4 linked regions of the Astyanax mexicanus genome follow. The protein of the gene in region 1 interacts with the protein of each later gene in a pairwise test. Links are inferred from orthologs where the notes say so. Each region holds a gene or a part of one and is shown in the gene's direction. Other genes may lie near its edges. The genes, in order: bysl, ddx17, mipol1 and thap1.

What was found.
Region 2: the proteins of bysl (region 1) and ddx17 interact in binary tests that used the Homo sapiens proteins (3 or more experiments, as listed by UniProt). The two-hybrid records come from large-scale screens. The link is inferred for Astyanax mexicanus from reciprocal best matches to the Homo sapiens genes BYSL and DDX17.
Region 3: the proteins of bysl (region 1) and mipol1 interact in binary tests that used the Homo sapiens proteins (3 or more experiments, as listed by UniProt). The two-hybrid records come from large-scale screens. The link is inferred for Astyanax mexicanus from reciprocal best matches to the Homo sapiens genes BYSL and MIPOL1.
Region 4: the proteins of bysl (region 1) and thap1 interact in binary tests that used the Homo sapiens proteins (3 or more experiments, as listed by UniProt). The two-hybrid records come from large-scale screens. The link is inferred for Astyanax mexicanus from reciprocal best matches to the Homo sapiens genes BYSL and THAP1.

Annotation. Positions count from the first base shown.
Region 1 is NC_064431.1:31,842,831-31,850,407, reverse strand, and holds the start of bysl (bystin), read left to right. Parts: upstream 1-4,575; 5' UTR 4,576-4,690; coding exon 4,691-4,952; intron 4,953-6,273; coding exon 6,274-6,430; intron 6,431-7,568; coding exon 7,569-7,577. Other genes in the region: med20 (mediator of RNA polymerase II transcription subunit 20), read right to left, coding at 458-711, 1,857-2,002, 3,466-3,479. UniProt on the Homo sapiens protein: Required for processing of 20S pre-rRNA precursor and biogenesis of 40S ribosomal subunits. May be required for trophinin-dependent regulation of cell adhesion during implantation of human embryos.
Region 2 is NC_064412.1:31,361,780-31,368,704, reverse strand, and holds the start of ddx17 (probable ATP-dependent RNA helicase DDX17), read left to right. Parts: upstream 1-3,903; 5' UTR 3,904-4,365; coding exon 4,366-4,421; intron 4,422-6,925. Other genes in the region: ntan1 (protein N-terminal asparagine amidohydrolase), read right to left, coding at 1,354-1,419, 1,636-1,738, 1,828-1,908. UniProt on the Homo sapiens protein: As an RNA helicase, unwinds RNA and alters RNA structures through ATP binding and hydrolysis.
Region 3 is NC_064421.1:18,849,530-18,857,355, forward strand, and holds the start of mipol1 (mirror-image polydactyly gene 1 protein), read left to right. Parts: upstream 1-4,805; 5' UTR 4,806-5,043; intron 5,044-5,401; 5' UTR 5,402-5,481; coding exon 5,482-5,576; intron 5,577-7,826. Other genes in the region: tyrosine-protein kinase receptor TYRO3, read right to left, coding at 997-1,054.
Region 4 is NC_064408.1:9,974,239-9,981,772, forward strand, and holds the start of thap1 (THAP domain-containing protein 1), read left to right. Parts: upstream 1-4,532; 5' UTR 4,533-4,680; coding exon 4,681-4,751; intron 4,752-6,539; coding exon 6,540-6,735; intron 6,736-7,534. UniProt on the Homo sapiens protein: DNA-binding transcription regulator that regulates endothelial cell proliferation and G1/S cell-cycle progression.

The DNA of each region.
Region 1 (7,577 bases):
TATCCGGACGGGATTAGTTTCTCAGGGGGTTTTGGGGTAATCTTCCACTGTGATTTTATTCCCGTTTCTCTGAATTGTGCGGTCCTCCAGTAATTTTAGACCTGTCCGGACGCACATCTCTGAGTTTCGTTTCCTCACGTTTAATTAAATAGCTATTTGTCCACTGCTGCGCACCATAATTACATTTGGGTGTGCGTTTCCATGGAGATCCACGTAAACACAACAGTGAGTCGAAATGGAGGAGCTACTGAACACGATGTCACGTGACTAAGAAAGCCTAAAAACTCACTGGACCTCCTGTTTTTTCAATTGCAGTCCGGATGCAGAAGTGTGTATTAATTTTCACGGACATCCCCCTGAGAAACAAATCCCATCCGGATAGGGCTATAGAAACTCCCTAAAAAAAACTTGATTCCCACCCTAAATTCATAGTGATGATCTGGAATTAAAGTCTGACCTCCACAGAAATCCCCCTGGCGCTGGAGCTCATGGTCACCGTGCCAACCTTCACCAGGAAGTCACAGTATCGGTAGCGTGCACCGCGGCTCTCGACCTTGTGACCTTTAGCGTTCTGGAAGTGGCTCTTCAGCTTCACCATCAGGACGTCGAAATTAGCATCTGCAGTCAGGTACGGCCCCCCCTCGTACAGAGCCAGGCAGCTCAGCGGAGTCTCCGAGTTATGCATCACATACAGCAGCTTAGAGGGCTGACCTAACACACACACACACACACATACACACACATACACACACATACACACACATACACACACACACACGTTATATATATAATTATGTGTTACATATATCATTATTTGCCTGTAAGCAGGGGCTCTTCAAATGATGAAAAACAACAAGCTAAAGCCTTAGTCTTTCCTTTTTCATTTAACAATCTTTACTGAAATTCACTTTTTTATTTTACTAAGTGCAGTAGAAGGGAAAAGGGAAATACTGGACAAAATGAGCAGTGAATAACTCTATTTAAATGTTAAGTGTGAAATGTGAACATCATGTTTCACTTCACCCCAAGTCCATTTCAAACCAGATTTCTCCTTTAACTTTACTCAAAATGTGGCCTCGTTGTCAAATCAATGGTAAAATACGAAAAAATGTACACATATTTTGCCACTGATTTTGTATCACAAGGTCACATTTTGTGAAAGTTAAATAGAGTTATTTCTTACTCATTTTGCCCGGTATTTTTCCTACGGCCCCTAAAGTGCCGCATGGCACTGAAGACTGAAGGGATTTAACCTCAATCTTGGTCAAATTGAGGTAACATTTAGTTTTAGTGTAGTAAAACATGATAAAGAGTACTAACCTTAGTTGAATAGGCCACCTCCGCTCTCCTGCAGCTTTCCTTGATCCAGTAATTTTGTGCTTTTTCCCAGCACTCTTTATAACGTGCGCTTCAGGGCATCCATTGCCCCTGCAGATAAATAAGTTTTACACCGTTATCCAGCTCAAAGTAGCTCCACACCTCATTGTTAGACTCCGGAGAGCCCTGACATTTAAAACGAGGCATTTAGAAATTTAAAAAGTGCACAGGAAGCTTCGGGCTTAGGTTTTTAACAAGATTCTTGTGCATTTTTAAAGCTCTTAATGCCTTGTTTTAAACGTTAGAGCTCTTCAGATTCTAGCAATGAGATGTGGAGCTACTTTGAGCTGGATAACGGTGTTAAAAGCAAATTACCAGTCGGTAAGTGGATGCCCCAAAGCAGCCGTTGTGAAGAGTGCTGGGCAAAAAGCACAAAATTAATGTATCTCAGAAAGCTATGGGAGAGTGGAGGTAGGCTATTCAACAAAGGGTTAGTACTTTTTATGTTTATGGTGGTATTTTATATACAGTGTATTTACCGCTGGCGTTCCCTGTGGTGTGATACGTCTCACAGTCCACAAAGAAGCTGCCCTGCTTCACTCCTCCCAGCTGCTCCAGCTTCTTATGCAGCTGATCCACCGTCTGCTGCACACTCTTCCCCTCCGCCACCGGCACCTGACACACACTACAGCGCATACACACACACACACTGGAATACAGGTATGCTACTGTACAAAGTATAAAAAGTAGTCCTGCTCTATTGCACACTACTTATTACATAATTAAAAAGCTGAGAAATAATCAGGGACACTAGGGAACTAGTTAAACTTACTTATTTCAGTGCATTTTAAGTAGGGGTGTATTTATTTAAGTAGGGGAGTATATATATATATATATATATATATATATATATATATATATATATATATATATATATATATATATATATATATATATATATATATATATATCTCCAGATGATCCAGATGATATATATCTCCAGATGATCCAGAACGCAGCAGCACGTCTGGTCTTCAACCAGCCAAAACGGGCACATGTCACCCCGCTGCTCATTGAGCTCCATTGGCTACCAGTTGATGCTCGCATCAAATTCAAAGCTCTTACAATCGCCTACAAGGCGGTGACAGAACAGGCTCCTTCCTACCTGCACTCGCTCCTGAAGGCTTACGCTACCTCCCGGCCGCTGCGCTCCTCCAGTGAACGTCGCCTCGCTTTGCCAAAAACTCACACAAAGCAATCCAGACTGTTCTCATACAGAGTTCCCCAATGGTGGAACAAACTACCTTCCACTACCAGATCAGGAGAATCTCTCGCTATCTTTAAGAAACTCCTGAAGACAGAGCTCTTCAAAGAGCACTTACTCTCCTAACACCTCTAACTAACTACCTTCCACTACCAGATCAGGAGAATCTCTCACTATCTTTAATAAACTCCTGAAGACAGAGCTCTTCAAAGAGCACTTACTCTCTTAACACCTCTAACACACTAACTACTTCTAACCTCATTTCCTTCTTCCTCTCCTTCACTCCTCTATCCTATTATTCCCCTGTGTCCTCCTTTTATCCCTATCCAAAGATGTTTTACCTTGAAACTTATTTTACATTGTACTTGACTATTGTAAGTCGCTTTGGACAAAAGCGTCTGCCAAATGTAATGTAATGTAATATATATATTTTAGTAATTTCAAAAATATACACAGTTCTGTAAAAAATAAGAGACCACTTTATGATGATGATTTTCTTTGATTTTAGCAAATTGAAAACCTCTGGAATATAATCAAGAGGAAGATGGATGATCACAAACCATCAAACCACCAAACTGAACTTGCTTGAATTTTCGCACCAGGAGTAAAGGCAAAAAGTTATCCAAAAGCAGTGTGTAAGACTGGTGGAGGAGAACATGATGCCAAGATGCATGAAAACTGTGATTAAAAACAGGGTTATTCCACCAAATATTGGTTCATGAACAGCAGTTTTTGGTTTAGATCACAAAGGCAGCATAAAGAGAAAAACCCTGATCTACAGAAAATCTCCACATGTCAGTTACAAATATATTAATACTCTTTATATCTCGGGAAACCAGTAAAAATCGCCAAACTGAACTCTTTTATTCATTTATTCTTCTTACCAGGTAACTCCCATCTCTGCACAGCGCGGCCACAACAGCTTCAAAACACCCAGCCAGACTTCATCCGGATACTGACAAAATAAAAGTCTTTCTAAAGTCGTCTAATGTCAACTTTTACAATTTTAAATTTCATATACATGCATCAATATATACAACAAAATGTTTTCGCACATTAAAACTATTATTACCTGGAGAAATTAAATAAACGTCGATATTTAAAAGGAGGTGCTGCATACTAATCTGTATTCCAACTCAATCTGCACTCACTGGTTTCCGGTCACACCGCCTGATTAGAATGACCTTTTTTTGGAAAAGTTTATTAACATTTTATAAAGACAAACATTAACACAACATAAAACAAAAAGGAAAGACAAGATACTTTTGTAAATGTAAATATACATGATCAAGAAAACATATAATTCTGTTTAGTTTTTAATCTAATATTTGTATTGGCGAATATGATCTTTTTAGTCTTTCCTCGAAAAAAAAACATGTATATTATAAAAAAAATAGTTAACGACTAACAATTGGTCTGTAAAAATGGAAATAATAATAAATACATTATTAAAAAGAGAAAAATATCTAAATGCACGCTATGTAGCAAATAAAATCATTTATGTAATATAATTGTGTATATGTCATTCTAAAGTCGTCTAATGTCAATTTTATACACGCATTAATATATACAACAAACTAAAATTGCACACTAAAATTATTATTAAAATTATTAATTTGAAAAAAAATAATAATAATAAATCTCAGCCTGTCCTTAAATAGTACAAAATATAATTATGACTTAAATGGTATAAAAGTGATCAAAAACTGAAAAAAATTATATAATATTAATATAGTAAAAAAAAAAAAAAACATACATTATGTATTAACTATTTAAAAGAAAAAAATTATAAATGCACGTTATGTAGTAAATAAAATGATTGATGTGGTTAGCTAATAAAGCTGTGTAAATTTCATTTTAATACAGCATGAGACCCTATATGTTACCAAAAGAATTAAGATTTGTAAAAAAAAAAAATCGCTTTTACATCAGGCACATCTAACCAGCCACCGAAGGGTCCTACGGGTGCAGTTTTCGGCGTTGTCAGTTTTCGGCAGAGCACCCCCTGCGTTACCTCACCTCCATTAGCGTTGAGGGAAACCCACGTGTGTGCGACAGAGGGTTTTGGTAGAACTTAAAACTCCATTTATATCTGAGCAGTCTGTCGCCATGCCGAAGGTAAAGAGGGATAAAGGTGGTGGACCGGACCGGGCCGGAGGTTCTGTAGCCCTGGCCGATCAGCTGCTTCAGTCCGACACCATCAGAACCAACAGCCGGGTCAAAAACCGGGGCAGAAAACAGGAGGAGGAGGACTATGTGGACGAGAAGCTCTCCAGGAGGATTCTGGAGCAGGCTCGGATTCAGCAAGAAGAGCTGCAGACTGAGTTCGGAGTCACACCAGAGGCCAAGAAGAAACCTTCTACTGTTCTGGGCAAGTTAAATAAACGTGTATACATTAATATTATCACATGATAGACCACCACCAGAGACAGCAGTGCTGCTTGAGTTTTTAAACACCTCAGTGTCACTGCTGGATTAAGAATAACAAAAAAATAAACTGTGCAGCAACAAATTCAGATATTTTGTCTCTAATTTTACATTATCTGTAAGGTGGAGCAGCTGTAGGGCTGCAACTAATGATTATTTTAATATTTAACTAATCTTCTGAATATTTTTCAGATTATTCGATTAGTCAATGATTATTTCTGCCTTCCCCTCTGCTTGCTGTTGGTAGAGCTTCTGTTTCTAGCTTTCACTATTGGTTCAAAACGATAGAAAACAGCTAAACATGGGATTTAAATGCCCTTTACATATCCAGAACATTGTCTTTTGAATATGGAAGGTGCTGATCTTTAGTGAGGAAATGTGAAATCTGTTGTGATTGGGCTCTTTTGGAGACCCAGTTACCCTTCTAACATTGTGTTTGTCCCCAGTAATTTGTGTAGTGCTACTAATTGACGATTAGTCGACATCGAAAATTTGGAGCCGACAAATTTTTAAAAATCGTCATTGTCAATGATATTGACTAATCGTTGCAGCCCTAATCAGCTGTAGGTAGGAGTGTGTAATAGAGTGGAGGATAGTGAGAGATTAAACACGGTGTTTAAAACCATCAGCAGCACTACTGTATCTGATCAACTTACTGTACCAGCTCAGCACACACTAACACCTCATACACCACCACCATGCTAATCAGTGCTATTACTGCGAGTAACCACCCACCACACAAGCTAAGTGCTCTGTTGTGGTCACCTTAAATTCAGTGTTATTTTTTTCTTTTCATTATTTCAAAAATGTTCCCCAATGTAATTTAATAATAAAGTCTTCCAAACTGTGCAGAAAAACACAAAAGTGTTAAACAAACCAGAATATGTTTTATATATTTTACATTCTTCAAAGTATCTCCTCTTGCTTTGATGACAGCTCTACACATCTTGGAAAATAACTTTAATTTCTTGCCGTCTTCAAGTGATTCTAGTAGATATATAATGTAAAATGAGAACAGTGTGAATTTTTCTTTTGCTAAAAACAGCAAAAAAAAAAAGTAGTACCCTAATGTGATAATTAGTGGTGAGTGATATGGTACAATATTTCAGGGTATAATATCGTTAACTGTATTTGAAAATGTTGGCAATATTATTGCCTGTGATATGATATGGCCCTAGTTGTAAAGTTATAAATCTGATTATTTTATGTTATTGAAATCATTATAGATTGCTGTTATCATTATTAACAGTATGTGTTGTTTGCAGGTCCACATACTCAGGATGGAGACTCTGATGAGGAATGGCCAGAGCTGGGTGCCATGGGAACAGAGGATCATGAGGTGGGGGCGGTTGCTGAGGTGGAGGTGGATCCGGATGATGAAAAAGCCATACAGATGTTCATGAACAAAAACCCACCAGTGAGGTAAAGAACACCTGGACAACAAGGGTAACAGTGCAAGGTGGCTGCTCCACTATAGGGCAGTGTGGCTCTTCTTATTAATAATGTACTCTTGCTCTTTCTTTCCTGGGGCAGTCCTGTTGAGTACTAGTTTCATCATATCGCTTTGATGTGCGGCTGCGCTAAAGGATACTTTCAAAGTTCTTGAAATTTTTTAGATTGACTTAATTTCTTAGTCATAAAGTATTTTTTCTTTTTACTTAGTTGAGTATTTCTTGCTTCTCATAATCTGGATTAGAACAGTACTCAAATAGAGTTATTCACTGTATACCTGTAACTCTACCTCTTCACTACTTTACAACTGATGCTCTCAAACACATTAAGAGACAAGAAATTCAAGTAGTTGCAAACAAAAAAGATGCAATTATATCTCTGATCAATATTTAGTCCCATCCCTATGCCACACCACACAATATAAAGCATAGGCACGCGTATCCTTATGGATGTTGGAAAAAACATCATACTTTTTGGTTGTTTCCATGCAAATATATTGTTGCAACAAGCACAACAAAAATCATTCTCTCTAATTAAACATATTATTAGTTTATCTTATTTTTACTTAATGTATTTAACTTTTTTTTCAACATGGCACTGTGCTGGTATATATATTTTTCCAAACATATTCACTTGAAAGATAAATAACATAATGTTTAGTGAAAGTATTTAGTGCACTTTTATTTGCACTGATGTTTATACAGGTTCTGTTCTGTTTACAACACAGTGCTGTCATTTCCTTTTAATCCCCCCATCACTATTGCACTATTGTCTTGTGTCTCTTGTCTCGTGTATGTCTCTCTGTGTCCATGTCGTATTGTACGTTTAGTGTCTTTCATTTTTATATTTATATATTTTTTTATCTTGCTGTAATTTTTGGGAAGGAGAGTAACGTAATTTCAATCCTCTAAAAGTCCTGTACATATGCAAAACTATTTGATTTGAATTGATCTTATTTTTACTTTATGTATTTGGATTTGTTTAAATATAGGACTGTATTTTGCTGGTATATATTTGTTTGAACATGTTCACAAACTTCATTTTAAAGAGAAATATCAATGTTTATAGTAAAAATTATTTTTAATGTATTTATTTTTTTTTTGTAAAGGCGCACTCT
Region 2 (6,925 bases), on another chromosome or scaffold:
TATACTAGGATACATACGTCTGCTATGTTCTTGCTGAGTGTGACGTGACGTGCAGGTGTTATGGATCGTGTATAAACCAATAGGATGTCAGAATGGTATATGTTTATACTTCTCATCCAACCACAATCAAATTTTACCACACTTTATATGTATAAATGGATTTATCTGGATAGGGTTCAAAACAATGGAATAAAAAAAAACAAGCTGAAATGAAATGGGAGTAACAAGGCTATTTTTAAAATATAAGGAGTAGAAAGTACAGATAATTGTGTAAAATTTAAGGAGAAGAAGTAAAATGTTATCTGAAAAATATTAATAAATAGATAACCAACATTTAAACTCAAGGAAAGTAACGAAGTAGTGCATTTTACAAAATGAGAATACCATAGAAAAGTTATTTTATTTCAGTAGTTCAGTTTAAAATGTGAAACTCATATTTTATATAGCTGTATTACACACAGAGTGATCTATTTTAAGTGTTTATTTCTTTTATTGCTAATGATTATGATTATGGCTTACAGCCAATGAAAACTGAAAATTCATTGTCTCAGAAAATTAAAATATTATATAAGACAAATTGGTACTTTTGGCAGTGTGCCCAGTGTACCAAGTTCTGCTGGAAAATGTAATTCGCATCTCTCTCTGCACTTGGACTTTGGACTTGAAAGAACACAGTGGACCAACACCAGCAGATGACATGTCTCTCCAAACCATCACTGATCATCAGTTAAATTTGCATTTCATTTTAAAATCAAGGGAGCAGAGTCTGGAGGAAGACTGGAGAGACACACAGTCCAAACTGCTTGAGGTCTAGTGTAAAGTTTCCACAATCAGTGATGGTTTGGAGAGACATGATGTCATCTGCTGACGTTGATCTACTATGTTTTATCAAGTCCAAAGTCAGTGCAGAGTTTTCCCGGAAAATCTTACGGCACTTCATGCTTCCCTCTGCTGACAACTTTTATGGAGATGCAGATTTAATTTTCCAGCAGGACTTGGCACACTACCAAAAGTACCAATTTGTCTTATATAATATTCTAATTTTCTGAGACACTGTTTTTTGGGTTTTCATTGGCTGTAAGCCATAATCATCAACAATAAAATAAATTAACGTCTAAAATAGATCACTCTGTGTGTAATACATCTATATATGAGTTTCACATTTTGAACTGAATAACTGCAATAATGTAAATTCATTTATTCTGAACATTTTTTGAGTTGAAGTAGTATAATTTGTACTTCATTATTTGTTTTACTTCTCTGTTGGATTAAGGCTCAATTTAGTAAAGGAAACCTGATCTACATTCAACTTGGCCACTTAGTGCTAGTTTCTCTTTAAAACTGGGTCTCTACCTGTGTGCCGCAAAACCACAAGGTGACATGTAGTTGCATCTCCAGAGCCAATGACCGAGACAGAACCTGTAGAGGAGACATACCTCTCTTCAGAACAGGAGATAGATAACTACAGTAAGATAAACACAGTCAAACTGTAGAGACAGACTTCAGAACAGGAGATAAGTAAGTTTAACTACAGTCAGATAAACACAGTTAAACTGTAGAGACAGGCTTCAGGACAGGAGATAAATAACTACAGTCAGATGAACACAGTTAACCTGTAGATACACAGAGACTCACTGTCCGCCGGTGTCGTGGCTGCGAATTCTCTCTGCTGAACGTAAAGGAGGCGCTTGGGCTCGACAGTCAGAGCGGGTCTGGACCGGAACTCTTTGGCGTTTTCCTTTAAGAAGCAGAAGCAGGTTTTAAACACTGGGATCTGAGATCTGTTACTCGAGCTGAACTGCTGTAAAGCGGAGAAACGTTACTCACCTTTAGATGAGAATATCTGAGGAACAGGTCTGTAGTTGAAGTCACGCGCTCGACCCGTCTGTTCTGAACCAGGAGGGGCATTTTAATATTTTAATCCAGTCGTTAACTCAACATGAAGCTCTAAATAAAGTTCAGCATTACAGAGAACACACTCTCCTCACTATTTAACTAGAATCTGTAATACAGTACATCCAGACAGCCTGAGAGAACCGGTGTTCTGTCCAGTTATGATACCCATCGATACGTGCTTCCTAAAGGCACTGCACATGCGCTAACCTACACTTTTTGATTATTTATCGTGTTTTTTTTTGTGCATTAAACAAATTGAACTCACTGTCATTGCAAAAAAGTGTAAATGTAAATTAATAACAATAATGAATACAATAATTATTATAAAAAATACAAAAGCAGTTTGTAATAAGCTCTCGTTGCCATAACTTTACCATGACACAGTGATTTATGCTGTATCCATAAATACTAACGCAACATTTACTGGGATACATTCCTACTGGGAACATGCTCTAATATGGGGCTTCTTTATTTTTACAGTTAAATATACACTTGGGTAGCGCGGTTTGACAAGGTAACCCAACTCGACAGAACACCGGAGCACTTCCTGTATTTTCACTTCAACGTCATGACCACACATCAAGAGACCAGTGTTTTTTTTTATTTAGTTTTTTGGCCAAAATTGTGTTGTTATAATAGATAGAATATACGTGCAGAAGGGATAACAACAATAAAATGATATAAAACATGAATTTAAAAATAGTTAATAAATTGCTACTGTTTTATAATTTTGTACTTTTTTGCTTGTATTATTTTTTAATATGATTTTGCTTAATGCATTCTGTGTAAAATATGTTTTCATTAACCGCAACTGCGCAGATTTCTTCAGTCTACGCAGGAAATATACGCGCAGTCTCTGCAGAGCTGGTTTATGAAGAGAGCACCCACTTCTTATCGCTACCGTTATAATCACAGAGAATTGCTGCCCGCCGTTAGGGGGAGCCCGCAAGAGAGTCCAAAATAAGTGGAAGATAATGGAGCTAAACGGCTAAAAACTCTGATTACAAATAGTACATTTCCGCTTAGCCAAGATATTGCTTTAAATTTGAAACGTAGGATTATGTATTTTACTACTAAAGCAAATAATACACGTCTATTTTTCAGTTTTTCTACAGTAATAATATTTTAGGCAGTAAAGACGCTAGCATTATTGCTACTGTGAGCTGACTGGTTGGTGAGCTAATACTGGAGTTACAGCCAAAACATTTTCTAAAAAAAGTGGAGTTTAAAAGCTTTGTTCTGTGTTGGGAAAATGAGTACATTTTAGTATAAAAGTTGCTCCATATGAACACATTCATTTTGGACCATAGACTCTCTGTTTTGGACTCACTCAGGAGCGCCCCCTGGTGGTCAAACAAGCCTGGAGGAGATTCTGAAGTGAATTTTCTCCTCTCTATAGAATCTCTGGTATCTGCTGGTGGTGTGCTGCTTTCGTACGTTACCCGTCGCAATCTGCACCCTCTAGGTTTCGGTCTGGGCGGGCCAAAACACCTTTTAGTTGTCGCTTCAAGAATTTGACTAATTTTACTATATAAAGCTCATCTCATTTATCTCATATAAATTATTAAAGATAACGTGCTGACTGAACTACCTTCAACACACCTGTTTCACCTGTAAACACAGAAATGACTCAAATTAGTATTTTAATTTCTCTTACTGTTGCCCTTCTTGATGTTTATCAGTTTCCTCCCTTTAATACATCGTTTCCTCAATTTCACAAGAAATACTCTTTATTTGAATAGTCTTTCCCTCAGATTAGAGGGAAAACAATTTTCTAAATTTAAGAAATTGTTGATTAATTTGGGGACATTATTTATTAATTATGATAAATATTATCTTATATTTTTCCTTGATAATTTAGAGGTTCAGTAGTTCGCCTTTTAGAGTTAGGATGTTTCTGTGACAACAACGACAATATATAATCGACACAATTTTGAGTCAAGCGCAAACAACAGCCCTCTCATTGGGTCCTAGGGGTGCAGTTTGTGTCGGGGTGCGGAATTCGGCACCACACTGGAGGATAGGGGGCGGGTCTTCGGCCTTCAGCGAAGCAGTCGGACTCTGACAATTCGACGAATTGTTTATCGAATAAAGTTTACATTTAGATCAATTTTATTTGAAGAAAATCAAATAATTCGGTTGGTCGGTCGTTATTATTCGTGCATTGGTCGATTTTAGACTTGCAGCCGGATTTTCTGAGGAGCTTCACGATTGAGACTGTAGTTAATTTAGAATGCTAAGCTAACAGTTAGCAAAACAACAACAAACACAAACCCAAACCCGAGTTCTCAGCTAAAAGTTGAGCTTATTTTTAAGTTTATTCATTGTTATCACTTATAAAGTGATATTTATTATTTTTCTAGTTGGTTTACTGAATAATTTACAGTATAAAAATATCAGTCGTTTAGTGGCTGGTTAATTAGTTAAATAGTTGCAGTGTAAAGTGGAGTTTGTGTAAAATTCTGTAAAATGAGGGGAAGTTCCTCGTATGGCGATAGAGACCGAGATCGTGGACGCGACAGGGGGTAAGAACGAGTTTCTGTGATTTAGATTGTTTGAGTATTTCCGTTTCTGAATTTCCAAATAACCCCAGTAATCTACACAACCTACAGAACTGTATTTGATGTAGTCTTTAGTACGAGGCTGAAGTTGGTTTGATATTCGCAGCTCCAGATTCGTTTGGCTCGATATTCGCAGCCTCGTATTCCCCGGCTGAAGTTGGTTTGATATTCGCAGCTGCCGCTTCACTGAACCACCGTGAACTAAAGGGAGCGTTCACAAACACCCGCTGTTTATATTAAACACCTCACAGATCAACACTGAAGGAGATAGAATGAAGAAAAGCAGTACATCTGTTTATTAACAATGTAAATATACAATATATTATTAAATATAATTTTGTATATTGTAAAATATTTGTTTTAATTACTGAATTTATAATTATATATTACAATAAATAATTAAATATATATTTAATATAATTATATTTTAAAAGCCATTGCGCTCAAAAAATATGAGGCAGATGTTCAAGTGTGATTTTGAAGAACTTTTTCATGTTGGGCCAGAACAAATACACATGATCTGAAGAGTACTAGTCTTCTACTTTAAGAAAAACCTGGAATTAGCCTGGCCCAAGCTGATTTTATACTTTAAAATGAACTGGCAACATAGCCTACCAATCCATAATGCACAATTTTTTTATGTAAAGCTGATGTTCTAGTGTAATTTTGAAGGACTTTTTCATCTTGGGCCAGACCAAATACACATGATCTGAAGAGTACTAGACTTCTACTTTAAGAAAAACCTGGAAATAGCCTGGCCCAAGCTGATTTTATACTTTAAAATGAACTGGCAACATGGAATACCGATCCATAAAGCACAATTTTTTTATGTAAAGCTGATGTTCCAGTGTGATTTTGAAGGACTTTTTCATCTTGGGCCAGAACAAATACACATGATCTGAAGAGTACTAGTCTTCTACTTTAAGGAAAACCTGGAATTAGCCTGGCCCGAGCTGATTTTATACTTTAAAATTAACTGGCAACATGGCCTACCGATCCATAATGCACAAAAAAATTGAATATAAAGCTGATGTTCTAGTGTGATTTTGAAGGACTTTTTAATCTTGGGCCAGAACAAATACTCATGATCTGAAGAGTACTAGTCTTCTACTTTAAGGAAAACCTGGAAATAGCCTGGCCCAAGCTGATTTTATACTTTAAAATGAACTGGCAACATGGAATACCGATCCATAATGCACAATTGTTTTTATGTAAAGCTGATGTTCCAGTGTGATTTTGAAGGACTTTTTCATCTTGGGCCAGACCAAATACACATGATCTGAAGAGTACTAGTCTTCTACTTTAATGAAAACCTGGAATTAGCCTGGCCCAAGCTGATTTTATACTTTAAAATGAATTGGCAACATGGTATAACGAGCCATTTTGCACAAAAAAGCCACTGTTCCAGTACAATTTTGAAGATTTTTTAAATCTTGGGCCAGAACAAATACACATGATCTGAAGAGAACTAGTCTTCTACTTTAAGGAAAACCTGGAAATAGCCTGGCCCAAGCTGATTTTATACTTTAAAATGAATTGGCAATATGGAATACCGATGCATAATGCACAATTTTTCTTTATGTAAAGCTGATGTTCCAGTGTGATTTTGAAGGGCTTTTTCATCTTGGGCCAGACCAAATACACATGATCTGAAGAGTACTAGTCTTCTACTTTAGGGAAAGCCTGGAATTAGCCTGGCCCAAGCTGATTTTATACTTTAAAATTAACTGGCAACATGGCATACCGATCCATAAGGCAGAAAAAAGTTTAATTTAAAGCTGATGTTCTAGTGTGATTTTGAAGGACTTTTTAATCTTGGGCCAGACCAAATACACATGATCTGAAGAGAACTAGTCTTCTACTTTAAGGAAAACCTGGAAATAGCTTGGCCCAAGCTGATTTTATACTTTAAAATGAACTGGCAACATGGAATACCGATCCATAATGCACAATTGTTTTTATGTAAAGCTGATGTTCTAGTGTGATTTTGAAGGACTTTTTAATCTTGGGCCAGAACAAATACACATGATCTGAAGAGAACTAGTCTTCTACTTTAAGGAAAACCTGGAATTAGCCTGGCCCAAGCTGATTTTATACTTTAAAATGAACTGGCAACATGGCATACCGATCCATAAGGCAGAAAAAAGTTTAATTTAAAGCTGATGTTCTAGTGTGATTTTCAAGGACTTTTTAATCTTGGGCCAGACCAAATACACATGATCTGAAGAGTACTAGTCTTCTTCTTTAAGGAAAACCTGGAATTAGCCTGGCCCGAGCTGATTTTATCCTTTAAAATGAATTGGCAACATGACATGAAAGCCATTTTGCACAGAAATAATGAATATAAAGCATTGATTTTGAGAATACCAGAACTCTTCATCTGATGTGTATTTGGTCTGAAAAAAAATCCAAAATCATACTGGAATATCAGCTTTAAATAATATTTTTTTTGTGCTACCAGGTTGCCA
Region 3 (7,826 bases), on another chromosome or scaffold:
ATGATGTATGCACTCTTTTTTTTTAAATAAAAAAAAAAATACAGTTGGTCAGTGTTGAAGAAATCCAAAAGAAAATCAACATTAAGTGTATTGTTCACATAATTTATCACAATAAGATAAAATACCTTAGTTTTGCAGACCTTTCTGTTTCGAATACCACCAAACATGTTACAAGTTTGCATTTTCACAGCTTTAGAAGCTTTTGTACCCAAATCTGTGGTCTCCATTGTGCCAAAACCACTGCACAGACCTGTTCCAGTGCCCATGCTCTGACTGAGGCTAGCAGACGTAATGCAAGCTGCAGAAGGATGAAAGCTCTCCAGTGTGGAGGCAGACTACAGCTGGCTTCTACAGTGCTGCAGCTTCAGCCAGAACAGCCTAATCAATGCCTACATTCACTGCCTATGGAGGAACTAATGTGGGGACACTATTAGCTAGATGACAGATTCAATGTTAAACAAACACTGTGATGCCGAATAAAAAATGAAGATTTTTTTATGTATATGCAAAAAAAGATCTATTTTTTATAAAAGAAAAGGTAACCTAATAATTATTTTTTTAAAGCCCATTCAGCATGGACTGCAGGATTATTTTAGATTGCTGGTTTCTTTTATAAAGCTATAATTCTGCTTGAATACAGTCCAGAGGGTAAACCAGGCTGTTGTTGTTGTTGCTGCTGCTGCTGCGGTTTCCAACAAGTAACTTAACGTTAAAGTTATCTAACGTTAGTTAGCCAACCTAGCTAACCTAACTTGAGGTGTCTTTATTTTTTGTTTAAGTTACTTGTTATAAATGTACTTGAATGTATAAATTCAATTTAACAAAAAAAACAAAAACGAACTAATTTGGTAACTAGCTTATCTAAGTTAGTTAACCTAGCTAGCTTAGCTTAGCTTAGCTAACGTTAACTAACTAGTTAAGTTAAGTGGGCTATTCATTAACATTGTTTACACTCTGTTTATCATTATTTATCCACACAATTTTGAACAAACTTACCGTGAACTCCTTCACTATAATGAACGAGGATAAATATTATCCAAAACTTAATTCCCATTTTAGCATCCTCTGAAACGCGACTCGGTCGCTTCACCTCAGCTGAATCAACAAGACCAGCAACTTTAAACAGGCGCGGTTGCTGAATCGCTAATTTACTCGGTATTCGCAGCAGCAAGTGCCGAACAGCGGCAGCAGCAGCTCCACAGTCCCGTCCCCAGAGTCTCCAACGCAGCCAGCAGCAGCAGCAGCAGAACCCCGCTCAGACCTCATCCCCGCCTGAACACTCTCCATACTCCACACACAGCCGAGCAGTATCCAAACATCCCGGCTTCACGGTCTTGGTTCAGTAAAGGAAACTGGACGGAGCTCCTCACACTTCCAAATGTTTCAGCGCTGTGGGGGAATGTGTGAAATCCCACACAATGCCCTCTAGAGACCATCTGCTGAAAAAACACCAAAACTCAGTGGATCCAGCCACCACCTCAAACCCAGCTCTTACAGAGGGCAAACGATATACAGCTCTAAAACAATAAGAGACCACTTAAAATGATTTTCTTTGAATTTACCAAATTAAAAAACCCTGAAATATAATCAAGAGGAAGATGGATGATCACAAGCCATCAAACCAAGCTGTACTGCTTGAATTTTTGCACCAGGAGTGGTATAAAGTTATCCAAAAGCAGTGTGTAAGACTGGTGGAGGAGAACATGCCTAGATGCATGAAAACTGTGATTAAAAACCAGGGTTATTTCACCAAATATTGATTTCTGAACTCTTAATTTGATTAAGAACTTGTTTTCTTTGCATTATTTGAGGTCTAAAAGCTCTGCATCTTTTTTGTTATTTTGCCCGTTTCTCATTTTCTTCAAATAAATGCTCAAAATGACAATATTCTTATTTGGAATTTAGGAGAAATGTGGTCCGTAGTTTATAGAATAAAACAACAATGTTCATTTTAACCAAACATATACCTATAAATCATCAAAATCAGAGAAACTGATTCAGAAACTAAAGTGGTCTCTTATTTTTTTCCAGAGCTTTATAAGTATATAGAAATCACTGCATAAATATGCACAAATAAATAATTTAACTGATTTTCTCTACATGGCAGTTCCTAAAATCTCAACTGAAGAGTAGGGCCTGGTAGTTGCCAAGTGTACCAACAATCCAAGGCCAAATGTTTGCTTAGAACCAGGCCACAAGAGGCTAGCACAAATTGTGTGTCTAGTAACATGTTTGAAAAAAAGTGGTGGAAAAACAGTTAACCCATACGTACCATGTTAAATATATTTATAGCTATTTTCCTAGCTATAGGACCTCTAGGCCATTGACAAACAAATCTGTACATATCAGTTTGCATTTACATTTTTTGTACACTGTACCCTAAAACCCCACACTAAATAACGTTATCATTAAATGTGGTTTCCTTTAAGAGAAAATCCATCACTATCAAATGGCAAAAATAAATAACAGTAATGCTCTCATCAAATGTTTAGAATTTGCAAAGCAGATATTCAGTAAATAAGGCTTGTTCCCATTATTTGATAAGGGAGGAAATAAGTAGGTAGTGATCGTAGACCTAGGGGCTGGAACTTACCATAAAGTACCTTCTAATTTGGAACAGGATCTCCTCTCAGGAAGAGAAGCAGCCACACTAAATAAGTGTACACAACAGAGATAGATAGATAGATAGATAGATAGATAGATAGATAGATAGATAGATAGATAGATAGATAGATAGATAGATAGATAGATAGATAGATAGATAGATAGATAGATAGATAGATAGATAGATAGATAGAAACACATAAAAGTAAGAATATATTTAAACATAAATGTCCTTAGAAACATACTAAATAATTGTCTTACAATATGTTCTCGTTGTCATCTTGACCTTCTTTATTTCTATGATTTGATGAGCAGACAAATAAAGGCATTTTATCATCTCTCAGGCCTCATCTGTTCAGGCCTTGAAGATGTTTTTGCTGGAAGCTGTTTATGATTTTTATAGGACTGAGATGTTCTGCTCTTATCAGTACACTTTTCTTGTGCTGGGCAAAACTAAAAATAACAATAATGTGAGCTTTGACCACAAGAGTATGAGCTACAGGAAAACAAACTAAACTCTCCTCAGAATGGCCTACATGACCGTTTCACATAGCGTAAGGTTGTGTAGAGACATTTTCTAATCACTCATTTCTTTTCAACTTTTTCAGAGACTTTAAAAGGCATGAAGATTATTCAACTGCTAGAGACTGATTGTTCTTAGGACAAGGAGAGGACAAGATTATATGAGATAAAAACTTGTACACTCATCTTTATGCTGTTGGAGCCCAGTAATCTCTCTTTTCAGAGATGAAGAGCATGGTATTAATATGACATTGTTGATGTCATATCGATAGATGGCATTTCATGTTTTTAAGTTTAGTCATTAATATTAGTAAGTAATTAGCAAGATTTTAAATGAGATTAAATGGCACTAAAATATAGTAATAGAATTGTAATAGTAATAGAAATGCACTACAGGTCAGATGTTTTAGAACACCCCCACATATATCTGATCAAATATGAGATGCACAAAAATATAATGGCTGTAACCAAGTCTGTGTTACTTGGGGGAGGGAGGACATCCAACTAGTATTTGATTAATTCCCACTTGTTTCATGATGTGTCAGTGTGTAAGTGCCAGACATTTAAAAACTGTGGTGACAAAAGAGGGGTTAGGTGTAAAAGCTGTGGATGAAAGCTTGTCCTGAATCCACAACATAAACACTGTAGAGTATGTCTATCGGCATAATGTTACGTCCACATCATGTATTGCACTAATGTTAGTTGCTGTAGTTTAGTGCTAAGTTTAGTTGTAATGTTTTTAAATTTCCATCTTAAATAATAAAAATAGAAAAATATGTACTTTGACTTCCAGTCTCGGAGTAAACAACATTTCCTAAGTTTCAGACACAGTTATTATTTATTTTACAAATACATACATAAATTCATAATGGCTGTTTACAGCATATAGAGGGTAATTATTAATTACTAAAATTGCAGACTAATTAAACTCAATAAAACTTTATGTTAGAGTACAAATCTCATCCCTTATCAATTGGGGATGAGCCCTGCATTGTGTAAATTAGTTAATGAAGTTAGCTAAATCTTGGAAAGCTATTAAAATTGCTTAAGTCACATTTTATTTAGACCTAGTTTTAATAAATTAGCCACACTTGTGACATTATCCTAAAGGTGTAGAATCAAATGATCTGTTCAGCTGAGGGTGTAGGAAATTTTATGTAGGTGGTTATTTTAGGAAGGTAACAATATGAAAAATATTAGATTTAATTAATATTATTAATTCCTGAGCAGTCAGCATGTGTCTTCAGTTCCTTATAAATAAAACAGTGTGAAGGTTGTAAAGTCACATATCTGTTAAACATGCAGCAGCTACAAATAACAAATACAAATAACTGAAATGTATAAATCATTTAAAAGCATGTTAAAAATAAAAAAGGGTTTGTTGGGTTAGTTAAACACTTTAAAGGATTATTAAAAAGAATCGTTGCCAAAAGCACATGCTTACATAAAAAATATATATATAATGTACACGATCTAGAGTGAAGGTTAACATTCCTCTATGTTTCTAAAATGTGTTTATTCAGAGAAAGTTGTATTGTTACAGATTGGTGTAATCAATTTCAAAAACTATGCTTTAGAGACAAAATGCAGGTTATACTGAAATTTACCCATAGGACCCTTAAACCTTGTGTAGTGCACTAGGTAGCTGGTGATTATATAGGGAGCGATAGGTCGTTTGAGATTCGCCCAGACCTAGTTTGAGATGAGCGTTTTCCAAAACCCATCGTCTGTCCTCCTCTAGTGGACAGATCGCGTATCATCAGGTTTTCTGCTCTGTTCACTTCCCCCACTGCTCTCCTCTGGGCTGTGATCCGGAGCCTGTCCCGGGCTGTACTGTAGGAAGTCTCTCCGTGACTTTTACACAGTAGTGTAGGTAACGTACACAGAAAGTCAGCCATGCTCGCCGTGGTTTCCATGGTAAGTTACAAAGCCATGTTGATTGCGAGTCACTGAATGCTAACTTTCACTTTGATATTCAGCTCATAAACGGAATAATAACTTGCTCACAAATAAGTTTTGACAGTGAACGTAGTTAACTAGGTAAACTAGTGAACGAAATCACAGGTTATGTGTGGTATTGTTGTAACGTTAGTTAGCTAACTAGCTAGCCAACTGAGCTAGCAGTGAAGCTAAGTTAGTAAGCTAGGTGAGCTAACTTAGCTAACTTAGTAAAACTGGTTGCTAAAACTTTATACGTGTTTTATTTTGTGCTCTGCTTGTGTGTCACCGGCTCCCCGTCCAAAGGGGGTTTGTTGTTTCTCTCCTGTGTATCAAGTTGCCTGTAGGTTAAGTGTAAACGGAGACGCTGCGTGTAAAGTCCTGCTGTCAGATAGAGTTATCTTTCAGTTCTGACTCATGAATTTAAGGAGCATGGCACACGACGTTAAAAGCGCTGTCCAAAGGGCGAAACATAAAATATCAAGTCTGGAGAATGAGCTGTATTGTGCGAGGTGAGTGCTGGAGTGTTTAACAACTTTCTGAAGCTCGGTGTGAAACAAGAAAAAAGAAAGACTGAGTAAAACACACAGACACACACACAGCAGACGTTTGGTCTAGTGGAGCTATGGTTATAAATTTATTGGTTGTTCCTTTTTTTGCACTAACTGAGTCTCAAACTGAACTTAAGGGATCTTATTTGTTTTCTTGGCTTCTTTTGTGGGATATTGTAATAATTAAGAGTATTTAACACATTTGACCAACACTGCAAGCCAGCTAGTAATACCAACAGTGTTGATTGTTAGTGTGTAGTGTCTTTATAATATTTAACTTATATATAAATCACTTGAGACAAATATATTTACATTACATTGTCTAAACAAAGACTTTTAGGGTTTTGATGTGAAATTGTTCATTGTGTAATAGAATTACTAGGGTCTGCTTCCAAAATGTATGTATGTATGTAAGTAGTGGTATCTGACAACAAAAAGTATGAACTATTTTCATTTTGATGAATGCCCCCACATGCACCTCCACTATGGCTGTATGCTTTTTTTGTGAAAGAATTCAATGTAAAAGTAAAGCACCATTATTTTATATTTCACAGAGGTGTATATTAAAGAAGTATAATTGCTGCACTAAAATGTGTACCTGCACTCTACTGGGTAATTATTCTTTTTTACAAAAGATGTTGAGTACTTAAATACTTCCGCAAGTGTGATGCTTAAAGAACACTTCATCTACTACTTAAGTCCATTTTTGATAAAGCACTTGAGCTTTTACTCAAATCTCATTTCATGAACTGAAAAAGTATAGAAAAATAGTAATAGCAAATTATTTTCACAGATGTCTCACCTTGCAGAAATTTAATTGTTGTGAGGAGTTTGCTTGTAAGATGTCCTTCTCTTCACTGTTCTATTAAAGAACACTGCACAGTAGAATAGTGCATCTCCACTCCTGCGTCGCTTTAACCTTCGTGAAGGGCGTTGCTATCACATGCGGATTTGTTTCACCTTTCTTGCTAACATTGACTTCCACAGTTTCCTTAACTGCTATTGAATTAATTTATCAGCTGAGAGCACTTTAATTCTTTTTTATGCGCTTGCCCTGCTTTGTGGACATCAGTTAGCTGCTAAGAGAAGTCCAAAGTTATTGAGAACTCAAGGTTTGCCATTTAAGAAACGTATCATGCCCCAGAATTATAATATGCAGCTTCCTTATGATGAGCATTACCTGCCAAACCTGTACTAATTAATTGCTAGTTTAAAAGTACAGATCCTGAATACTTGAAATGTTTTTCAACCTCTCTTTGTCCCTCAGAACAGGTGTTTTTTGTTACTTTGTGTTTGATAGCTTTGTAAATGTGCTCTAATGTTTTGCTTGCATTTAATTAATTTTCTGGAGCTCCAGTTTTAACAGTTGTGGGTCTGTGAACCCCAAATTCTTTGTTCGGATTTGTATTCATTTTGCCACTTTTTTACTACTGCAAAGTTCTGCTGCTGCTGCCACTTAAAATACCTGTTCATCTGTTAAAGAAAACACTGAACAATGACTTTAAATAAACGCCTCCTTGTTCAATATAAACTATTCAGTCTTTTAATTTATTAACGTTTTTTCTGGGGAACATGTTCGGTTGCCAAACAGTTCTCTAACCCTTTTTATGCCTTGGAATAAACCAATAGTTTATGGTAACTTCGTTATGGTTGTACAGTAAAAGTTGTTCCATTTTTCAGGCAGCTGTGATTTTGTTGCTATAATAATCCAATAAATGCTGTGTATGGTAAGTGGTTGCTATGGTATTCCAGATACTTCCTATTGTGTTGCCATGATATTGGTAGATGGTAGTTTCTAAGGTTTTGCCAAGTGTTGCTACATGCTGTATTGTATTGTGTTGCTATGTAACTGTTATGGCATTGCTGTGTGGTTGCTATGTGCTTGCTGTGGTATTCCAGGTAGTTGATAGGTTGTTGCTGGCTTTGCTCTATTTTCTGGCTCAAACATACATAGTCCAAGCAGAGTAAAGACTTTTGGCACCACTAACCAGATACCCCTCGAGAGAGTACATACAGTGATAATGGAGCAAATGGAGCAGACTGGATTTAACCATGACCTAAAGTACAGTATTAGCATTTGTTGTTGCTAAAGGAACTATGTGGTGGAATGACTTGGTGATGGAGAGTTTAGCGATAGATCTGCAGCCGTTTTTGACCAAAGTTTTTGTATCATAGCTAGAGTAGCAAACGTTGTGCATCCCATTCATTCCT
Region 4 (7,534 bases), on another chromosome or scaffold:
TTTTTTACATTTTAATAGAAGTGAATGGAAACTTTATATTACTCTATAAGTAATTCTGGAGAATTTCTTTTGGTCAGTCACGGTGAAATTACAAAAAAAAAAAATTACAGCAGATATATATGTATATTTGTATACATATATATATATATATATATATATATATATATATATATATATATATATATATATACCAGTCAAATTTGTGGACACATAGCTCTACCCCACTAGGCTGTTCCCTGTTTCAGCTGCATATATGCTGATTGTAAATTGTGTGCAGGAGTGACAGATCACAGTATAAACCAATAGGGAGTCAGAATGGTATATGTTTATACTTCTCTACATCCAATCACAATCATATTCACTCTATCTGGATGGAGAGATTTATCTGGATAGGGCTTTTGAGAAGCCGGAATAAAAACGAGCTCAAATGAAAAAGGAGTAACGAGGCTATTTTTATTAAAATGTAACGAGTAGAAAGTTCAGATAATTGTGTGTAAATGTAAAAAGTAGAAGTAAAACTTTATCTGAAAATTAATTACTCTAGTAAAGCATAGATAACCAACATGTCTACTTAAGTAAGGAACCTCTGGTCAGAGCTGTTCTGGGGCACGAGGGGGACCTACGCAGTATTAGTCAATTTTACGTACAGATCTTGTGTTATACTGCCACCTTATGGCCGGATATTCAACTGTCTCTAATTAGGAAAAGCAATCTGTTATTGGAACGGTTTTAATTTATTTGAATGTCTCTTTATTTTTTAGCGCTTTTGCTTTATGCCTTTTAAGAATATTGTATTTACTTATTTTACTTGTTTAACACATTTATGTATTATTTAACTAGTTAATTAATTTGTATTAGTTTTAACCTTTAATTTTGAGTTGTATGTGTTTTTTGTATTATTTTTGGATGTATTTACTTTATTTTAGCTTTCCTGACTGATTTTACTATTTATGCTTTTTTCATATTAAGATCATTCTTAAACCTATTTATTTTATTTTTATTTAATTTTTACTTTTGTATCTGATTTGTTAATCTATTATTAATTAAATCTTAATTTTATTATCTTACATAAGCTACATTTATTTAATTTTTCTATTTTTTCTTTTGATTTTTTAACATGCTTCTTTTGCACTGTTCTTTTTGCATAAATTGACATATTTTTTAATTAAAAAAATAATTTTATGAATTGTATTATTGTATTTTTTTTTCTTTTGTCTTTCTTTTTCAATCTCTGTCTATTATAAATTCTCAACTTTATTGAAAGGTCATTAGGGTCACCTTCACTGTACTCTGATTAATAGTTGATTGATTAATTGATTAATTGATTAATTGATTGGCTGACTTTTTGGAGTCCTCACTCACTTACAAAGTGAGAAATGTAGCTGTCAAGCAGATTTTGATACTGATATCCTAGTAAAACACTTACATACATGATAAAAAATATATGTTTTAAACATAAACACTACATATTATGCAGTCTATATACCACACAACTACACACACAGCATTAAACACATAATAAAGCATTTATCTGTATGTAAAACACTCTGTGTATATAAGCTTTTTGTCTAATTAGTGCATCAGCACAGCCTACCTGCCCTGCAGATAAGTTCAGCATGACTCCAGACTGATGCTGAGGCTGAAATCCCACCAGCGGCAGCAGCAGCAGCAGGGAGATGATCAGCAGCAGCAGCAGCATGGTGGATCCTCACAGCTGTGCTGGGGGAGTAAACACACTGTGCAGCTCAGACTCTCTCTCACTGTGTTAGCACCACTACTACTCTGGGTTTCCTGCTTCAACCTGCATCTAAATTTCCTGTTTACACCACAATCACACACCCAGCCAGACACACACACATACAGCAGACAGACAGACAGAAAGCACACAGACAGACAAACAAAACAACAAGCAGAGAGACAGTAATGCACACAGACAGACAGCAATGGACACAGACAGACAGCAATGCACACAGACAGACAGAAATGAACACAGACAGGCAGACAGTAATGCACACAGACAGACAATAATGCACACAGACAAACAGACAGTAATGCACACAGACAGACATAAATACATACAGACAGACAGGCAGTAATGCACACAGACAGACAGACAGCAATGCACACAGACAGACATACATACATACAGACAGACATACAGCAATGCACACAGACAGACATAAATACATACAGACAAACATGCAGTAATGCACACAGACAGACAGACAGCAATACACACAGACAGAGAGTAATGCACACAGACAAACAGACAGCAATGAACACAGACAGACAGACATACAGCAGACAAATAGACAGACAGAAATCACACAGCATTGAACACAGACAGACAGACATGCAGGCAGACAGACAGGCATCACACAGCAATGAACAGACAGACAGACAAAACGACAAACATGCAGATAGACAGACATACACACAGACAGCAGACAGACAGCACACAGCAATAAGCACAGACAGACAGACATATACACACACAGAAAGACAGCAGACATACAGAGAGACAGCACACAGCAATGAACACAGACAGACAGCACACAGCAATGAACACAGACAGGCAGACAGTAATAAACACAGACAGACAGACAGACAGCACACAATAATGAACACAGACAAACAGCAGTAATGAACACAGATAGACAGCACACAGCATTAAACACAGTCAGACAACAGACAGACAGTAATGAACACAGACAGACAGACAGCACACATCAATGAACACAGACAGCAGACAGGCATACAGTAATGAACACAAACAGACAGCACATCATTAAACACAGACAGACAACAGACAGACAGAGTACTGAACACAGACAGCAAACAGCATTAAACACAGTCAGACAACAGAGAGACAGACAGACAGACAGACAGTAATAAACACAGACAGGCAGCAGACAGAGAGACAGCACACAGAAATGAACACAGACAGACAGACAGTAATGAACACAGACAGACAGTAATGAACACAGACAGACAGACAGCGTGTTTAATCTGAACACAGGTGTTAATGCAGCAGCTCCGTTAGGATGCTCATATGCAGCACGTGCAGTTTAACCACGTGTTTTTATATCCGCCACAGCCCACTGCGTGTGTTTAATGTGTGTTTTTAATGAAGTGAGTAAAGCAGGGTGTTAATATCTCTGTTATCAGAGTAAAATATGAATAATAAAGCTTTAACTGCTGTTCAGATCTCCTCAGAGGAATCTACGCAGCAGCGATCTGTTTCCTTATCGCATCTACGTCACCAAAACAGGGAAATCCTTCCGCGTGGGGCTGCGTCCCATTACGCAGGTAGCGTGCCTGTTCCCTACACCCTATGTAGTCACTATGTATAGTGTTTAATCTAGCGGTTTGTTATGAGATGGATGGATGGATGGATGGATGGATAGATAGATCGTATTACCTTTTTTTATTTTATTACATTTGTTACCTGACAACTCTATAAATAAAATTATATTTAGGTAAGAAATTCACAACTAGAAAACTTGAATTGTTTGCCATCAAGCTGCCGGCATTAGAGGGAGCAAAATTGGCCCGGCTCCCTCTGGGTGGGTAGATGGCGCTCTCTCCCCACATCACTCCTAGGGTGATGTCTGCAGCACAGGGCGCCTGTGAGCTGATGTACCGGAGCCGAGCCGCTGTGCTTTCCTCCGAGCGAGCTGGCTGCTCGGTGATGCTGCATCAGCAGCAGCTCGATGTATCGGAGGAAGCATGTGTTAGTCTTCACCCTCCTGGTGTGTTGGGGCATTACTAGTGATCGTCCTAGTGAGTGGGTTGGGTAATTGGCCGTGTAAATTGGGGAGAAAATGGGAAAAATTTGAAATAAAATTATAAAAAAAAAAAAAGAAAACTTGAATTGTGTTTTAATTATTGCAGACTAAATGTACATAATGTTGTTATTATTATTATTATTATTATTATTATTATTATTATTATCATTTATGTTTAACTTGTTTCATTTTATTTAACTTTTTTGTAACTAATGGCTCCATGTTTCAGGTAAGGTAGAGGGAAGGAATTTGTTTAAAGAGTTTAATGTCTTGAAATATGTAAATAAAAAAATACTGTTGAATGAATGATGTACCAAGTTTAAAATAAATAAAAATATGCATTAAAAATAGTTGTGCATGCATTATTAAAATAAACTGTTTACTTTTACATTGTTCAAGTCCACTGTGTGATTTAGTAAGTTGATGAATTTTGGAGTTCCCTATATATATAATTTGCATATTCCACCAAATCAGTGCCATTTCAGTCCCCAGGAAATAACTTAAAAATAGCATAGTGTCTTGTAGAACAGTAAAATGACCCAGTTGCTATAATGTTAAGTTTGGAATTGCTTAAAAATCCATCTGAATCCTGAATTAGTCACATCAGTTTTCACACTTTATTATGAAGGGAAATAAAAATTTAAGGGGAAAATCTATTTCTAGGGCCCTAGGTAGGGCGCATGCGCGCAGATTGGAGCGCACGGGAAAGTTGCGACGTGCTGATCACATGGACGGATGCGTTTTCCTCCATCTTGGAGCTGGTGAGGAACTGGTGAGGTACTACTGGTGAGGTTCTCCAGCAGCAAAGAGGAGGAATAAGTACAGCAGAGATCCTGAACCCCGAGCTGATCCTGCAGCCGGGCTGATCCACAGCGCAGGACCTCCAGCAGCCATGGTGCAGTCCTGCTCCGCCTACGGCTGCAAGAACAGATATCACAAAGATAAGAACGTCTCATTCCACAAGTAAGATCCTCCATCCATCCCTCTGCACTGCCGCGAGCCCTGTCTGCATAACCTGGCTCTGCTGCTTCACAGGGTGAAGCTGGGTGACCAGTCTATATTTTAGCCACTACAGGACTTTTTGTATTTGTCTTGTTCGGGTTTGATGGTTTAACTGGTCTTTAATTCATTTGATCAATCTGAACAAACCAGATTTCCAGTATGACCAGGCTTAACCATACTGGTAGACCAGGAACATTGGCATGAGTAAGTTAGGTTACCAAGAAATAGCTGGTTGACCAGTATATGGTATGTTCATGGTTGACTTTAGTGGTTTAGCTGGTCTACCAAGCTAGTTCACCAATATGACCATTCTTCCAAAATTACCCCACAACATAAAGCTGGGCAACCAGTATGGTCAACTCTTAACCAGCATGATTTTGTGTCAGTTTGATGGTGTGGCTGGTCTACAAACATGATCAACCTGACCAAGCTAGGTCACCAGTATGACAAAGCATCAGCATAGTTGGCATAACTAATTTGGGGGACCAGCATGACCAGCAAGAAAAAAAAGCTTGTTGACCAGTATATGCTATGTTTATGTTTGATTTTGATAGTTTAGCTGGTCTACAAGGATGGTCAGCCTAACCAAGCCAGGCCACCAGTATGTTTGATGGTTTAGCAGTTCTACAAGCATTTGATCCATATGCACAAACCAGATAACCAGTATGACCACATTAATCCATGCTGGTATACGAAGAACATGAGCATGACAGTTGTTGTTGGGTGACCATCATGATCAGCAAGAAATAGCTGGTCGACCAGTATATAGTATTAATGGTTTGGTCTACCAGGCTAGGTCACCAATATGACCATTCTACCAGAATGACCCAGCTGAATAACCAGCATGACCTCCAACATAAAGCTGGTTGACCAGTTGAGCTCTTGCCCAGTATGATTTTGTGTCAGTTTGATGGTGTGGATGGGCTACAAACATGATCAATCTGACCAAGCTAGGTCACCAATTTGATCATTCTATCAGAATGAGCAAGGTGGTTAACCAGCGAGACCAAACTGGATCATCAGCATGACCATCAACATGGTTAAAGCTCTTGATTTTGATGTTCAAGCTTTAGCAAGCTGGTAGACCAGCGTACTTGGCATGACAAATTTGAGTGACCAACATGAGCAGCAGCAAAAGAAAGCTGGTCGACCTGTACAGGGTATGTTTATTCTTGACTTTGGTGGTTTAGCTGGTATACAAGTTTGATCAACCTGACCAAGTGACAGGTGCATTTTAAAAAAAATTAGAATATCATAGAAAAGCTCAGTAATTCAGGTCATAAAGTGGAACGCATGTATTAAATAAATACAGTGCATGCAGTTTGATCTAGTTTAAGTGTTTATTTCTTTTATTGTTGATGATTATGGCTTACATCCAATAAAACTCAAAAATCAGTATATCAGAAAATTAGAATATTATGCAAGACATATTGCTAACAATGTAACAAAAGTTATTGGTAACAATGATATTCTATTTTTGAGATACACCTGTAGGTCACCAATATGGCCATTCAACCCAAATGACAAAACTGGTTGACGAGCATAATTAAGATGATTAACCAGTAAGACCAAGCCCATTAATTAGCCTACCCAAGCTGGTAGACCAGGATAATTGGCATGATTACTAGTATGATCAGAAAACCTTTGTCGACCTAGGGATGCACCGTGGTATGTTTATGTTTGATTTTGGTGGTTATCTGGTCTACAAGTATGGCCACCGATATGACCATGCTACGGATCTTATTCCAGGTTCCCTCTCGCGAGGCCTGACATCTGTGGGAAATGGGTGGCCGCCATGAGGAGGACCAACTTCAAGCCCACCAAATACAGCAACATCTGCTCACAGCACTTTACCAAAGACTGCTTCAAACGAGAATGCAACAACCGAGTGCTGAAGGAGAACGCCGTGCCTTCCCTTTTTAGCTTCAACAAACTGCAGATAAAGGTACAGAAACCGCACAACACACCCAGTTCCTCCTTATGTATATTATTTATATGTCCTGGGCTCTGAGTGGCTCAGTAGACTGACACTGACTCTAATGACCTCAGGATTGCAAGTTCGAATCCCTGGTAATGCTGCTTCGGCATCAGCAGCAGGAATCTGAGAGAGCACAATTTGCTATGCTCTCCACTGTGGTGGGGATAACTGTTTTAGCTAAATATGGCAGAAATTTGGGTGAAGTATTACGTAAATAGTGATAATCAGTTAAGTATCTGCTCTGTTTGGGTTTTATAGATAATTTTCATATGATGAGAATTTCACACATTAAGTTATTTACATTGTGCTGCATTTAAAATGCTTTTTTACATGCTCTGTGCAATAATACATTTTCACCAGAGAAGTCCTCAAATCCACAAACCCTACAGACTGTTGCTTTAAGGCAAAGAACTTTAGTGCTGTGCAGTATACCTGTCCGACTGGTGTATCAGAGGAGAAATTAAAACTGGTATGCAATTTTCGCATACTGTCATACCGCAAGAGATGCTGCAGTGCGTTGTGTATAATCTTTAAAGAAGCATACTGGCTCAGCTTGCTAACTACAGCTAGCCAGTTAGCATAACAAGCTAACACACTAGAGTAACTATAGCTCAACTCTGTGGAGTAAAAGTCTCTTCTCGTTCTCTCCTGTCTGGAGAGAAATAAGAACAGCACATTATCTGAGGAGCTCCTGCTGCTGTTCCTTGCACTATGAAATTGCGTTATCAATCCACAGCTTAGAGAAAATTTCCTCTCGTTCCCCAGA